Linked DNA regions of Anolis sagrei. The protein of the gene in region 1 binds, or shares a complex with, the protein of each later gene. Links are inferred from orthologs where the notes say so. Each region holds a gene or a part of one and is shown on either strand. Other genes may lie near its edges. The genes, in order: GNAO1 and ADRA2A.

Region 1 (7,720 bases):
TATATATGCCTATATATGTATGTGTATATGTGTTTGTGTGTGTGTATAATGCCCCTGGGTGCAGAAAGCCAAGGAGGATGTATTTCATCATATGTGTATGTATATATAGCTATATCAAAACTTAGATATAAATATATATATTATTATTCCTATTATAATATACATCACTCTATATGTATTACACACACACACACATATATATTCCCATACGCTTCATGGTAACCAAGAAGGATGTATTTCAAAATATCTATATCTGTGTAGAGAAAGATATATAGCTATATATTCCTAGATGCCTCATAGTGCACAAAGCCAAGAAGAATGCATTTAGTAATATAATGTACAATAATATAATATTTAATAATATTATATAATATTAATACCCTCTTTCTCATATAGATAGATAGATAGATAGATAGATATTAATCCCCTATCTCTCTCTCTCTCTCTCTCTCTCTCTATATATATATATATATATGGAAATGGGGGATTAATATTGTATTATATTATTAAATATTATATTATTGTACATTATATTATTATAATGTACAAATTATATATATATATATATATATATATATATATATATATATATATATATATGAGATCCATGGTGCACAAAGCCAAGAAGGATGCATTCAATTATATATACATATCCCCCTTTCTATATATGCCCCATAGTGCATATATAGAAAGGGGAAATATATATATATATATACACACACACACATATATTTCCCTTTTCTATAGATGCCCCATAGTGCATATATAGAAAGGGGGAATACACACACACACACACATATATATATATTTCCCTTTTCTATAGATGCCCCATAGTGCTTATATAGAAAGGGGGAATATATATATACACACACACTTCTCTATCTATCTATTTATCTATCTACACAAATCGAATGCCCTGGGATGTACAAAGCCAAGAAGGCTGCATTTCATAATCCATCAATCTCAATCTCTCTCTCTCTCTCTCTCTCTCTCTCTGTATGTATGTATGCTATCTATTCTATTAATCTATTCTATGTATCTATTCTATCTATCATATCCATCTGTCTGTCTATCTATCTATCTATCTATCTATCTATCTATCTATCCATCCATATATTCTATCTATTCTATGTATCTATTCTATCTATCTATCCTATCTATCATATCCACCTGTCTATCTATTCTATCATATCTATCTGTCTGTCTATCTATCTATTCTATCTATCTATTCTATCTATCTATCTATCTATCTATCTATCTATCTATCCTATCTATCATATCCATCTATCAATCTATTCTATCTATTCTATCTATCTATTCTATCTATCATATCCCCATCTGCCTATCTATCTATTCTATTCTATCTATCCTATCTATCATATCCGTCTATCTATTCTATTCTATTCTATTCTATTCTATTCTATTCTATCTCTCTATCCTATCCTATCCATCTGTCTATCTATCCTATCCTATCTATCTACATATATCCAATGCCCCTGGGTGCACAAAACGAAGAAGGATTTCATAATATATAGGGAGAGGGAGGTATATAGATAGATGGATGGATGAATAGATAGATAGATAGATAGATAGAGAGATAGAGAGATGAATGAATGGATAGATAGATAGATAGATAGATAGATGGATGAATGGATGAATAGATAAATAGATAGATAGATAGATAGACAGATAGATAGATGAATGGATAGATAAATAGATAGATAGATAGATGAATGGATGGATAGATAAATAGATAGATGGATGGATGGATGGATGGATAGATGGATAGATAGATGGATGGATGGATGGATAGATAAATAGATAGATAGATAGATAGATGGATAGATAGATAGATAAATAGATAGATGGATGAATGGATGGATAGATAAATAGATGGATGGATGGATGGATGGATGGATAAATAGATAAATAGATAGATGGATGGATGGATGGATGGATAGATAGATAGATAGATAGATGAATGGATAGATAGATAGATAGATAGATAGATAGATAGATAGATAGTGATGGCAAATAGAAGAAATTGAGAGGTGGGAGAGGGGAAGAAGACCACACCTGAGGAAGAGAGGGATGCTCATATCTCACCTGGAGAAGAAGAGACATAGCGGTATCTATGTACGTCCGCATATACACATACATACATGTATCTCTATCTATGTCTGTGTGCCTGCCTCCTTACCCAGCAAGAGGAGACATAGCGGTATCTATGTACGTCCGCATATACACATACATACATGTATCTCTATCTATGCCTGTGTGCCTGCCTACTTACCCAGCAAGAGAAGACATAGCGGTATCTATGTACATCCGCATATACACATACATACATGTATCTCTATCTATGCCTGTGTGCCTGCCTACTTACCCAGCAAGAGGAGCTTGACATCCTTGGCGGCGGTGATGCCATCTTCCTTGAGGTTCTTCTCGATCGCTTTGCTCCTTTCCAAGGCGGCTCTCTCCTCCGCGCTGAGGGTACATCCCATGGTGGTGGGCACACACACAAAAAGGGCGAATCCCCCCCCTATAAAACAACAACAAGAATACAAAAGACCCCTTTTTCCTTCCCTTCTTTCCTTGCTCCAAAGGCAGGGCGAGCTCCAATCAAAGCCAGGGAGAAGGAGAAGACCACCGATGGACCAAAGCCAGGGAGATGCTGGTGCACCAAAGAAAACCAATCTCCCCTTCTTGCCTTCTTCTCTCTTCTTCCCTGGCAGACAATCTCTCCTTAATTCCTTCCTTTCCTTCTCTCTGCGTCTTTTTTTTTTGCTCTGCTTCACTCCAAACGTTGCATCCAAGTGACAGCTTCGAATTGTCGGGGAATTGTCGGGGAATTGTCGGGGAATTGTCGGGGAATTGTCGGGAGCAGCTCAGCCAAACACAACACAATGTTGCAAGGATTTATCTTTGTTGTCTCTTTCTTATTCTTCTTCAGTCTCTTCCTTCTTCCTTTCTTCCTCCTTTCCCCCTTTCTTTTGGGGTTTCTCTTTGGGTGGGGGGGATCTCAAGGGGTCCCCTCCTGCTCCCCCGAACTTGGGGGGGTCTCTAATGGGCGATGGCTGCGAGCGAGGGCATCGTCCAAGGCGATCCTGACGGAGAGAGAAAGCAGAGAGGAGGGAGGAAAGGAGGGAGGGGGAAAAAGGAGGGAGGGAGGAAAGGCAGGGCGAGAGCGCCGCCTGCTTAGCGTTGCTCCTTCCAACGGAGGGGAGGGGGGAAGAGAAAGAGAGAGAGGGGGGGGGGAAGCTGACTCTATGACGTCAGAGCTCTCCCTGTCTCCTGCGCATGCGCCCCACTCCTAAAGGAAAAGGTGGGGGGAATCTAGAGAAAGAGAGGCCAAAGGATGGGAAGGAAAACACCCATTTCTAAGCAGAAGATCATTCATGATCCAACACGATTTGGGTTCCTGGGTTCTAAACCCCATTGCCTCATTGGTCCTATCATAAAAACATTATAATATAATATAATATAATATAATATAATATAATATAATATAATATAATATAATAATAGTATAATATAATATAATATAATAATATAATAATAATATAATATAATAATATTATAACATATAATATTTAATAAAATAAAGATCAAATATAATGATAATAATATAATACTATTACTTACTTTGCAACATAAAAATATAATATAATATAATATAATAATGATATAATAGAATAATATTATAACATATTTTATTATAATTATTATAATAAACCCCATTGCCTCATTGGTCCTATCATAAAAACATAATATTATAATATTATAATATAATATAATAATATTTAATAAAATAAAGCTCAAATATAATGATAATAATACAATACTATTACAACATAATAACATAATATTATAATATTATAACATGTTTTAATATAATAGAATAATAAAATAAAATATAATAGAATAATGATACAATAGAATAATATTATAACATATTTTACTATTATTATAATATAATAATAAACCCCATTGCCTCATTGGTCCTATCATAAAAACATAATATAATATTATAATAGTATAATAATATAATATAATAATATTATAACATATACTATTTAATAAAATAAAGATCAAATATAACGATAATAATACAAGGATATTACAGTATAATAACATAATAAAATATAATAAAATAATATTATAACATATATTAATATAATATAATAATATATAATATAATAATGATATAATAGAATAAGATCAAAGCATATATTAATATAATTATAATAATAAACCCCATTGCCTCATTAATCCTATCATAAAAGCATAGTACAATAATGTAAAGATATAATATTAATATAATAATATAATAACATATATCAATATGATTATGATATATTAATAAATCCCATTGCATCAGTCATCCTATCATAAAAATATAATATAATAATATATTATAACATATATTAATATAATTATAATATAATAGTAAACCCCATTGCCTCATTGGTCCTATCATAAAAGCATAGTATAATAATATAGAGATATAATATTAATATAATATAATATAATATAATAACATATATTAATATGATTATGATATATTAATAAATCCCATTGCATCAGTAATCCTATCATAAAAATATAATATAATAATATATTATAACATATATTAATATAATTATAATGTAATAATAAACACAATTGCCTCATTAATCCTATCATAAAGACATAATATGGTAATATAAATAGAAATATGGTAATATAATATAATTATAGTATTATAACATATATTAATATAATTATAATATAATAATAAACCCTGTTGCCTCATTAATCCTATCATAAAAACATAATATAATAATATAATATAATAATAATATATCATATTAATATAATTATAATATATTCGAAACCCCCTTTGCCCCATTGGTCCTATCACAAATAATGTAATAATATAGTAGTATAAGAAAAATATTATATAACAATAATAATATAATAATATAACATATTAATATAATAACAATATTATATTAGAATATATTCTAAACCCCCATTGCCTCACTGGTCCAATTATAAAAACATAATATAATATAATGACATATATTAATATAATATTATAATGCATAATAATATAACACAGAGGCTGCAGTGGCTCAGCGGTTTAAACCACAAAGTTGCAAAACTTACTGACCAGAAGGTTGGTGGTTCGACTCCGCTGATGGAGTGAACTCCTGTTGTTAGCCCTAGCATCTGCCAACCTAGCAGTTTGAAAACATGCAAGTGTGAGTAGATCAGTAGGTACCGCTTCTGTGGGAAGGTAAAGGTGCTCCATGCAGTCATGCCAGCCACATGACCTAGGAGGTGTCTACAGAAAACACTGGCTCTTTGGCTTAGAAATTGAGATTAGCACCCCCCCCCCCCCCCCCCCCCGAGTCAGACATGACTAGACTTAATGTCAGGGGAAACCTTTATCTTTAATTATAATATTATAATATATTCTATTATAACATATAATAATAATAATAATAATAATAATATATTATTATTATTATTATTATTATTATTATTATTATTATAGGGTTGTTGTAGGTTTTTTCGGGCTATATGGCCATGGTCTAGAGCAGTGGTTCTCAACCTGGGGTCCTCACGTGTTTTTAGCCTTCAACTCCCAGAAATCCTAACAGCCGGTAAACTGGCTGGGATTTCTGGGAGTTGTAGGCCAAAAACATCTGGGGACCCCAGGTTGAGAACCACTGGTCTAGAGGCATTCTCTCCTGACATTTTGCCTGCATCTATGGCAAGCATCCTCAGAGGTAGTGAGGTTTGTTGGAACTAGGAAAAGGGGTTTATTTATCTGTGGAATGACCAGGGTGGGACAAAGGACTCTTGTCTGCTGGAGCTAGGTGTGAATGTTTCAACAGACCACCTTGATTAGCATATAATGGCCTGATAGTGCCAAGAGCAAACTTTTGTTGAGAGGTGATTAGATGTCCTTGTTTGTTTCCTCTCTGTTGTTGTGCTGTTGTAATTTTAGAATTTTTTAATACTAGTAGCCAAATTTTGTTCATTTTCATGGTTTCCTCCTTTCTGTTGAAATTGTTCATATGCTTGTGGATTTCAATGGCTTCTCTGTGTAGTCTGACATGGTGGTTGTGAGAGTGGTCCAGCATTTCTGTGTTCCCAAATAAAATGCTGTGTCCAGGTTGGACAGGAGGGATCCTCTCACCTCTGCAGGAGTCTACCGTGTACCATGCAGCTGTGGACAAGTCTACAGAGGGACCACCAAACGCAGCAGCATTGCCCAGACACGAATCAAGGAACATGAAAGGCACTGCAGACTACTTCAACCAGAGAAGTCAGCCATAGCAGAGCACACGATGAACCAACCTGGACACAGGTGTGAAAGAGGTTGTAACCTAACCCAAAACATCTGGTCAATAATACTCTACTCCTAAGTTAGCAATCCATTGCTGGTGAGGAAAAGCAAACAGAACAGAGTCTCCAGTTTGTGTATTTATTTAGAAAATTCATTCCCCGCCTTCTAATCCCGAAAAGGAGTCTCAAGCTGGCCGAGAGCCATCAAAAATACATTCAATACAAAAGAAAAGCAGAGAGCAACAAAGCAAAGCCAACGCAATCAGCAAAGAGTAAACCTTAGGATGGGTCAAAAGTCTGGTTTTATAACGTGCCTGAAACCCATCAAAAGAAGAGAAGAGACTTGCTTCTTTGTGTCTTCCAGCTGGATAAGTCATCAGGATGATATGCCCAGCAGAGCATGGCTTCCTTGGTGGCACGGAATATCAGCCCCACAAGGGAATCCAATTTGGAATTTTGCTATCTTAGCGGAGGTCTCTGACTGTTACGAACTGCTGGAGTCCAAGCTGAGTGCCTCTATAGTCTATAGTCGCCTGTGCGCATTCAGAAGAAAGCTGAAAGGCAAAAGCTGCACATCGCAAGTGCTGAACCTGACTCAGCACATAGAAGATGGCTTTGAAAGGCAGCAGATCACAGGGCTGTCTTCATAGACCTGTCAGCAGCCTATGATACTGTGAACCACCGCCTCCTCCTGAGAAAAATGTATAATATCACAAAGGACGACCACCTCACCCGCCTCATAGGAAGCCTGCTACAAAACATGAGCTTTTTTGTTGAATTCCAGGGCCAAAGAAGCAGATGGCGGAAACAGAAGAACGGCCTGCCTCAGGGGAACGTGCTTGCTCCATCCATGGTCAACATCTACACAAATGACCAGCCACTGCCAGAAGGGACAGAGAGCTTCATCTATGCTGATGATCGTGCCATTACCACTCAGGCAGGGAGCTTTGAGATGGTTGAACAGAAGCTCTCCGAAGCTCTAGGTGCCCTTACTGCCTATTACAGGGAAAACCAACTGATCCCTAATCCCTCTAAAACACAGATATGTGCCTTTCACCTTAAGAACAGACAAGCATCCCGAGCTCTGAGGATTATTACCTGGGAAGGAATCCCACTGGAGCATTGCAGCGCACCCAAATACCTGGGAGTCACCCTGGACCGTGTTCTGACCTACAAGAAGCACTGCCTGAACATCAAACAAAAAGTGGGTGCTAGAAACAATATCATACGAAAGCTGACTGGCACAACCTGGGGATCACAACCAGATACAGTGAAGACATCTGCCCTTGTGCTATGCTATTCTGCTGCTGAGTACGCATGCCCAGTGTGGAACACATCTCACCACACTAAAACAATAGATGTGGCTCTTAATGAGACATGC
Region 2 (8,245 bases), on another chromosome or scaffold:
GGATACATGAAACCTGAAACCGGGAGAAGGAAAACGGATGTTTCTGCGATTGTTTCTCAACGGCAACTACAAAGTGTCCTTGTGCATGGAGTTTTCTTGTGCAGGAGAGGCAACACAAATAGAAAATGTTTAAAAAAATCAGTGTAAATCTGGTAACACTGTGAAGTAAAACAAAAGGGCATCGTATACAATGTTATCTATTTACAACCATGGGCCGGAGCGATACGTTAGCATCGGACATACATCAGAGGAAAGCCAGAGCACTTTATCATAACCTTTGGAGAATCTAATTCCTCTCGAGCATAGCAAATGAGAAACCAGCTTGTCCTTGTGACAGATTCTGTGCCGATTCTATGCTGAATGGATATTTTTCAAAATAACATTCCTTCTTTCAGGTGGCAAAAAAGGGAGATACAGCTTTTGAACAATACTGCTTAAATGACAACACAAACATGAAGTTAAGAAAAAACAAAAATACATATAGGGAGTACGATAAAACGTTGGCTATTGCCAAGCTTATGTTACCAGTTTTGTTTAGCCCAAAATCCAACTGCACATTGGAAATCTTGGTATTTATAATACTATTTTTAATGCTTGATGAGATGGCTCCGGTAGTCCACTGGGGTGTGTTGTTTTGTTTTTTTAAGTTTTCAGAGACACATTGCGTTTTCAAGAAAGATCGGAAGCAGTTGCAAAGCTGATCTCTCCTACAAAAGTTAAAGAGGAACAGATCTCAAAGATGCAATACTGTCATTTTGGGGAGAGGGGGGAAGAAATAGAAAGAAAGTGCTTCTGAAATATATGACTTATAATTTCCCCCTTGCCCACCCCAGCTGGTCCTTTTCAGTTTGTAATGTGTCAGGTTTATAACAACACTCATAAATAAGAGCTTCCAATCCATCACTGGGTAGAGAAACATATCCACTCAGTGTCTGAGGGGTTGTGTACCAATGTTGTAATCATTTCATCTCACCTGAAAGTCTCTGAAGAGTTCAAGCTCAGTAACCAAATGAGATGCCACCCAACTTCCAAAATCCAACCACTCGAAGACACTCGGCCTCGGCAACAAAGAACAGGAGGTCCATTCCTCCTCCTCCTCAGCCAATCCTTTTTCGGTCTAACCTGCAGAGGATCTTTTTGAAGGCCCTCCTGAAGTCATGGTTGAAGATGGTGTAGATGACAGGGTTGAGGGAACTGTTGCAATACCCAAACCAGAAGAAGAACTTGAAGAGGGTTTCAGGCACAAAGCAGCTTTCGCAAACAGCAGTCAAGGTGTAGGTGAAGAAGAAAGGGAACCAGCAGATGACAAAAACCCCAATCACGACCGCCAGCACAAAGGTGAAGCGCTTCTCCCGGTTCTGCCTGCCCCGCCATCGGGATGCCTTGGCGTTGCGCTCCTCCTCGGACCGGCTGGGCAAGACGTCCCCAGGCTTGATCTGGCTGAGCTTGGTCTTACCCTTGCCCCGGGGTGGCTTCTCCTGCTTCTTGGGCTCACGGGTCTCGTTGTGCTCGGAGGAAGAGGTGTCCTCCAGGTCAATGCCGTTGACCTCTTCCCCGTCGTGGCTTCCCCCGGCCACCGCCACCTTCTCCCCATTCAACTTGGTAGCTGCAGTGACGTCCTCCTTGCCGGATAGCCCATTCTGCCGCCTCTCCACGGCCTCTGGCCTATCGCCAGGTGGGACCCGAGTCCTCCTCTTCGCGATCTGGTAGATGCGGACATAGACCAGGACCATGATGAGGCAGGGGGCAAAGAAAGAGCCAATGCTGGAGGAGATGATGTACCAAGTCTCCTTGTTGATGCTGCACTTGGGCTCCTTACTGCCAGCTTGTTCTCCAGGCAGGGGCTCGGGCTCTCCTTGCTTCATGATTGAGATGAGCGGCGGGAAGGAGATGATAGCCGAGATGACCCAGACCAGGAAGATGATGCTCTTGATGCGGCGCGGGGTGCGCTTGAGGTTGTACTCGATGGCCTGGGTGATGGACCAGTAGCGGTCCAAGCTGATGGCACAGAGGTGGACGATGGAGGAGGTGCAGAAGAGGACATCCAACGCTGTGTAGATCTCGCACCAGACCTTGCCGAAGGACCACTGGCCCATGACTTCGTTGGCCAAGGAGAAGGGGATGACCAAGGTGGCCACCAGGATGTCGGCGGAGGCCAGGGAGACCAGGAAGAGGTTCTGGGGGGCCTTGAGGGCCCGGCTGGTGAAGATGGCGATGATGACCAGCACGTTGCCGAAGACGATGACCAGCATGAGTAGGGTGGCCAAGGAGATGAGGGCCAGGGTGACGTGGAGGGAGAAGGGCCCCTCCCGCGCCCCGCCCTGGCTCCCGTTGAGGCTCCCGTTGCCTTCCATGGGCAAGGGAGGATGCCCCGAGCGCAAGTGGGAGGCCACCGCAGAAAAGCCCCCCTCGTCGCGCCCCACCAACGAGACCTCCGCTGGGAACATCAACCCGGCAGCAGGGCTCGGGTGGCAAGGCAGGAGAAGGAGCAAGAGAAGGAAGAAAAGAAGGCTGGCGAAAGGAGGAGAAGAAGAAGGAGGAAGACTCTCAGCCGCCTCCTTCCTTCCTCCGCCTCATCTTCCCACCCGCAAGTTACCTTCGCCCGAAGAGACCCAACTGGGGGCTCTTCAAGATCCAAACGAAGGACGAGGAGAGGTTGCTGCTGCTGCTGTTGGTGGTGGGAGTGATGGTGTGGAGGGTTCGCTCCCTCTGTGGCTTCTCCCGAGCGCTTGCCTGTGTTTGCTGCTCCGCGCTGAGGCTCGCCTTTATAGCGCCGGGTCTGGGATCGGCGGGAACCCAGCGGCGGGCAGCAAGCAGCAAGCGCGGCGTCAGCGCCACGTGGGGACGGACACGCCGCTTCCCCGCCCGCCCCTCCTCCGGCCAGGATCGCCACGCCTCGCGGAGGGACCTCCGGACTCGCGGGGATCCCTCGTGCCTCAGCCCCACGCGCCTCAGCCCCCTTCCCTTGCTTCCCCTTCCTTCCCTGGAGCGCCCTTCGCCTGCTTTGGGGGAGCTCTCCTCTGCCTCTCGCCTCCACAAACGCACGCACACATCTCTATCTATCTATATCAGGCATGGGTCAACTTGGCCCCTCTATAAGTGTTTTGGACTTCAACTCCCACCATTCCTAACAGCCTCAGGCCCCTTCCTTTTCCCCCTCAGCCGCTTAAGCGGCTGAGGGGGAAAAGGAAAGGGCCTGAGGCTGTTAGGAATGGTGGGAGTTGAAGTCCAAAACACCTGGAGGGCCCAAGTTGACCCATGCATGAGCTGTTGTTAGCCCCAGCTTCTGCCAACCCAGCAGTTTGAAAACATACAAATGTGAGTAGATCAATAGGTACTGCTCTGGTGGGAAGATAACAGCGCTCCATGAAGTCATGCTGGCCAAATGACCTTGGAGGTCTCTACGGACAATGCCGGCTCAGGTTGCATTGTAGGAGTTGGTCCATGCTTTGCTCTTCTCCGCACTCACATGTCGTGGACTCCACTTTGTAGCCCCATTTCTTAAGGTTAGCTCTGCATCTCATGGTGCCAGAGTTCAACCTGTTCAGGACCTTCCAGGTCACTCAATCTTCTGTGTGCCCATGAGGGGAATCTCTCATCTGGTATCAACCATTGATTGAAGTTCCAGGTTTTCATCTGCCACTTTTGGACTCTCGCTTGCTGAGGTGTTCCTGCGAGTATCCCTGTAAATCTAAGGAAGCTTTTTCTTGATTTAAGGCATTGGGTTGCTGGCTGATATCCGAACAGAGGATGGGCAAGAGATGTCAATGCTTTGGTCCTTTCATTACAAGCTGCTACTTCCTGACAAATGTTGACCCATGCTTGGTGTATGCTTTGGGTTTTAATTTACACATTGTATTGTTTTATAGTCTTTTGACTCTGGTGGTGCAGTGGGATAAAGTGCTGAGCTGCTGAACTTGCTGACCGAAAGATCGTAGGTTCGAATCCGGAGAGTGGTGTGAGCTCCCGCTGTTAGCCCCAGCTTCTTCCAACCTAGCAGTTTGTAATCATACAAATGTAAGTAGTTCAATAGGTACTGCTCCGGTGGGAAGGTAACGGCGCTCCATGCAGTCATTCTGGCCACATGACCTTGGGGGTGTCTACCGACAACACTGGCTCTTCAGCGTAGAAATGGAGATGAGCACCAACCCCCAGAGTCGGATAAGACTGGACTTAATGTCAGGAAAAAACCTGTACTTTTATTCTAACCCCTTTGCGTTTCCTTTGGGAAAAAGAAGAAAAATATAAATCCATATCATCAGCATCAGCATCCTCCTCCAACCCTTTGGACGAAGTTTGCCCATGCATCATTTTGATAATGGAACTGGAAGTAAATGTTGTTTCCAGTTGCTTGAAAGGATGTTGGGCATGGGTAGTTCACCTACCTCCAAAGAGTGCTGTGAACCCCACCAACTATGGATCTGGACCAAACTTAGCACATATACCCAACATGGCCAACTTTAAGTACTGGTAGGGTTTGAGAGCATTGATAGATGATGATGGGAGTTGTAGCTTACCCACAATCATTATGCATTTCCTAATAGGACCATAGGAGCCCCCGGTGGCACGGCGGGTTAAACCCCAGTGCCAGCAGGACTGAATACCAACAGGTCGGAGGTTTGAATCTGGAGAGAGTACAGATTAGCTCCCTTTACCAGCTCCAGCTCCCCATGCACAGACATGAGCGAAGCCTCCCACAAGGACACATCAGAACACCCGGGTGTCCCACCCGGGTGTCCTCACCGGGTAGTGAGAATTTTGTACTAGGTTTTTTTTTTGTATAATGGAACAAGTAAATATATTTGTATCTATGTCTCTATTTTTCTAAAATCAATAAAGAATAAGTTTTTAAAAAAAAGAACACCCGGGTGTCCCCTGGGCAACGTTCTTGCAGACTGCCAATTCTCTCACACCAGAAGCAACTTGCAGTTTCTCAAGTTGCTCCTGTCATGGGAAAAAATGGACCATTCATAACATCCAAAAACAAACAATCGGGATTTCTTATATTTATCACCAAATACTTAGTCCAGGCATCACCAGGTACCTAAGCTATATAATATACATACATATACATATACACATATGGACACCCACACATCGCAGTTAACCAGCACACACAGGGAGTGATAGATGCCAGATAAATGTCATTTCCAGTTATTTGAAAGTTACTGGTCAAAAATAGCCCTAATTAATAGTCCAGTATTACAAAATTCTAAAATCAGGAGAGTAAATAAAGAACAACACTCAGAAAACAGGGGGAATTCCAGACATGAAACAACCAGAGCCAGCTAACACCTCCCAACAAAGGATTTCCCCAGGCAGCAACCAGCCAGGCTTTGAAGCTGCAAAGTTATTCAATACTACTCAAGGTGGCCAATTGCAACATTCACACTTGCCTCCAACAGACAAGAGTTCTTTGTCCCGCCCTGGACATCCCACAAATATATAAACCTCACTTTCCTAGTTTCCAACAGACTTCACAACCTTTGAGGATGCCTGCCATAGATGTGGGTGAAATGTCAGGAGAGAATGTTTCTGGAACATGGCCACACAGCCTAGAAAACTCATAGCAACCCAATGATTCTGGCCATGAAAACCTTCAACAACACATTTTCTAATACTGTCATGCATAAGACAAATGTTGTGCACACTGAACTATCAGAAAGCAAAGAAGTAACTATCTCAGCCATCGAAGTGGACAATTTGGGAATTTTGGATAAAGAATACTCTACCTGAACTTGTTATTTATGTTCACCACAGCAATCACAATATAGGTCACACATCCTCCTTAACCTTCCTTCATAAATGCCCCATCCCAGCAAAGTTGCCAGCACAAAAAGGTGCAAAGGGGTACACGTTGCTGCTTCATAGCTCGAGAATGGACAGCAAACTGGCATTGGTTTCAACAGGCACCTGGTGATTCTGGCACCAAGGTTGGGACAAGCTGCATATTGGGACAAGAAGGGTATTGACATGCTGGAATACATCCGAGAGAAGGGCAGCCAAAATGAGCATAGGTCTGGAAGCCAAATCCTTGCCACATCTCAGCTGTGGCTCACTGGCAGACACAGGTCCTTGATATGTCTGTTTGCATGTGTTGCTTCTGCTAACAGAAATCTGTTTGCTGTGAAAGCTACCCTGCATCCAGGTACTTGTGTGTCATATCACTTGCAGTTGTGCATTGCCTCTGTATAGAACCATCTCTCTATGCATTTGCCTCACCAAATGCCACAGCAGATGCCCGTGTAAATAAGCATACAGATACTTCAAACACTTCTCAAATGCAACTGTGGGCAATGCAAGTGTAACACAGCCATCTCCAGGGATCTGCCAACATTTACACAGGGATCAATTGAACCCAAGTAAAGCATGCTTAAAAACTCAAACAGAATTAATCATGGGCTTCAGTTTCTTGTGCTGTCTTTTGTTTTTATGATGTTTAGGTTAGCATTATTACATGCATATGTGACTGATCCTATATTCCTATTCTCTATCCAGTAGTTTCCAAACTTTGGACTTCCCAGAAGCCCCATCCAATGGCAAAGAATTCTAGAAATTGAAAAGGAAAAAGCTGAGATCCTTTGACTAAGAGCAGTAGTTCTCAACTTGTAGGTGCCCAGACGTTTTGGCCTTCAGCTCCCAGAAATCCTAACAGCTGGTAAACTGGTTGGGATTTCTGGGAGTTGTAGGGCAACCACTGTCTAAGAGGAATCCATGAGTTTGACAAAGCACTTCATAATGTTTGCACCAGCTTTCGAGGTATTAGGTGTTTTTTCTCTGAGAGACTTTGTTTATTTGGGGCTTTTCTTGCTGGATAAGCTACCATATATAAGTGTCCTAATTCTTGACAGTGATGCACTGCTTCATTAGAGATCCTATGGAGGTTATCCATCTATCCTCTCACAGGAAATCAAAAGTTCTCCTTCAGGAATTCTGGGAGCTGAAGTCTGAAATATTTGGATGACCAAGACTGAGAAAGCATTGCTTGTAGACTAGCAAACAGTAGTAGTAAAAGTACTGATTACACTGATTAACTTTTTGTAAATTGTCAATGAACTTAAATGTGCTTTTCCGAATTAGTTGGCTCTCCTTAGTTGGTGAGTGCCAAGATAGGTCTAGTTCTTTTCTTTCAGCCACCTGCACTATCTGGTACTGGAAGGAAACTGGACATTAAGAAGTGCCCAGCAGTAAACTTACTTTGGATCAGAAATCCTGTTTCCCGAATTCCAGCATTCCAGTATTCGTGCATTACATATTTACGTGACATAACAGATTGGATATGGGACACTCATTCGGGGCTGTTCTGTGTATGTATGTCATGAGGCTGAGAGAATGCAACCTCCCCAAGGTCACCTGGTGGGTTTCTATGGCTGAGCACAGATTTGATCCCTGGTTTTATTCCAATGCTCAAACCACTGCAGCTCATGGTTGATGTGTAGAGGCTTCTGCCTTGCTATTCTGTTGAGGATGAAATTGGATTAGATAGTGCAATGGTTCATTATGCCATTCAGATGTTATGCTTCATTAGATTACACAAAGACTCACATAAAGCAGTGCTGGAATGGGCAGGCAACACTTGACATGTGAGAAAGATTTAGATATTTGGACAGATTAAAAGAAGAACCGGCATGAAGTACTAGTTTGAGCATTGGGCTACAATTCTAGAGACAAGGTTTGAACCCTTGCTTAGCCATGGGAACCCATTGGGGGATAGAGAAGTCATACTCTCTCGAGCTCTGAGATAAGCATCAGCAAAACCTCTCCAAATAAATCTTTCCAAAGCAACCCTGAGAGACATTCACCTGAGGGAAGCTGTAAATCAGAAATGGCTTGAAGGGACCAAACAATAATAGATCAAAAGCTAAACATGAATAAATACTGTGATGCAGCCAATGCAGTTCTTGGAATGTATCAACTGGAATATTGTGTCCAATTCAAGGGAAGTGATAGCACCACTCTAATCTGTTTCACTCATTAGGAGTCTTGTGTGCAATTCTGTGCGCCAGAGTTCAAGGACTACATTGATAGAGCCTGCCCAAGGGGGAGGATGAAGATCATAAAGGAACTGGAAACCAAGCCTATAAAAACAGTCAGGGAACTGGAGATGTTTGATCTGGGGAACAGAGGACCAAGCGATGACGTGATGGCCATCTGTAATATCTAAATAGATATTTAACAGAAGATAGAGCAAGCTTGTTTTCTGCTGCTCCAAAGAATTGGACAAAATCAATGAATTCAATTTGCA

What was found.
Region 2: the proteins of GNAO1 (region 1) and ADRA2A are in contact, whole or in part, in a cryo-EM structure (PDB 7W6P), measured with the Homo sapiens proteins. The link is inferred for Anolis sagrei from reciprocal best matches to the Homo sapiens genes GNAO1 and ADRA2A. Residues at the interface, in NP_066268.1 of Homo sapiens: Ile28, Lys32, Lys193, Asn194, Leu195, Asp218, Phe336, Thr340, Asp341, Ile343, Ile344, Ala345, Asn347, Leu348, Gly350, Cys351, Gly352, Leu353, Tyr354; in NP_000672.3 of Homo sapiens: Arg77, Arg146, Ser149, Ile150, Ala153, Ile154, Asn157, Leu158, Arg160, Pro162, Ile234, Ala238, Arg241, Arg383, Arg386, Phe387, Val390, Leu391, Phe444, Asn445, His446.

The regions. Positions count from the first base shown.
Region 1 is NC_090028.1:7,028,195-7,035,914, forward strand, and holds the start of GNAO1 (guanine nucleotide-binding protein G(o) subunit alpha), read right to left. Parts: upstream 3,193-7,720; 5' UTR 2,505-3,192; coding exon 2,387-2,504; intron 1-2,386. UniProt on the Homo sapiens protein: Guanine nucleotide-binding proteins (G proteins) function as transducers downstream of G protein-coupled receptors (GPCRs) in numerous signaling cascades.
Region 2 is NC_090023.1:209,258,403-209,266,647, forward strand, and holds the start of ADRA2A (alpha-2A adrenergic receptor), read right to left. Parts: upstream 3,007-8,245; 5' UTR 2,448-3,006; coding exon 1,098-2,447; 3' UTR 974-1,097; intron 708-973; 3' UTR 1-707. UniProt on the Homo sapiens protein: Alpha-2 adrenergic receptors mediate the catecholamine-induced inhibition of adenylate cyclase through the action of G proteins.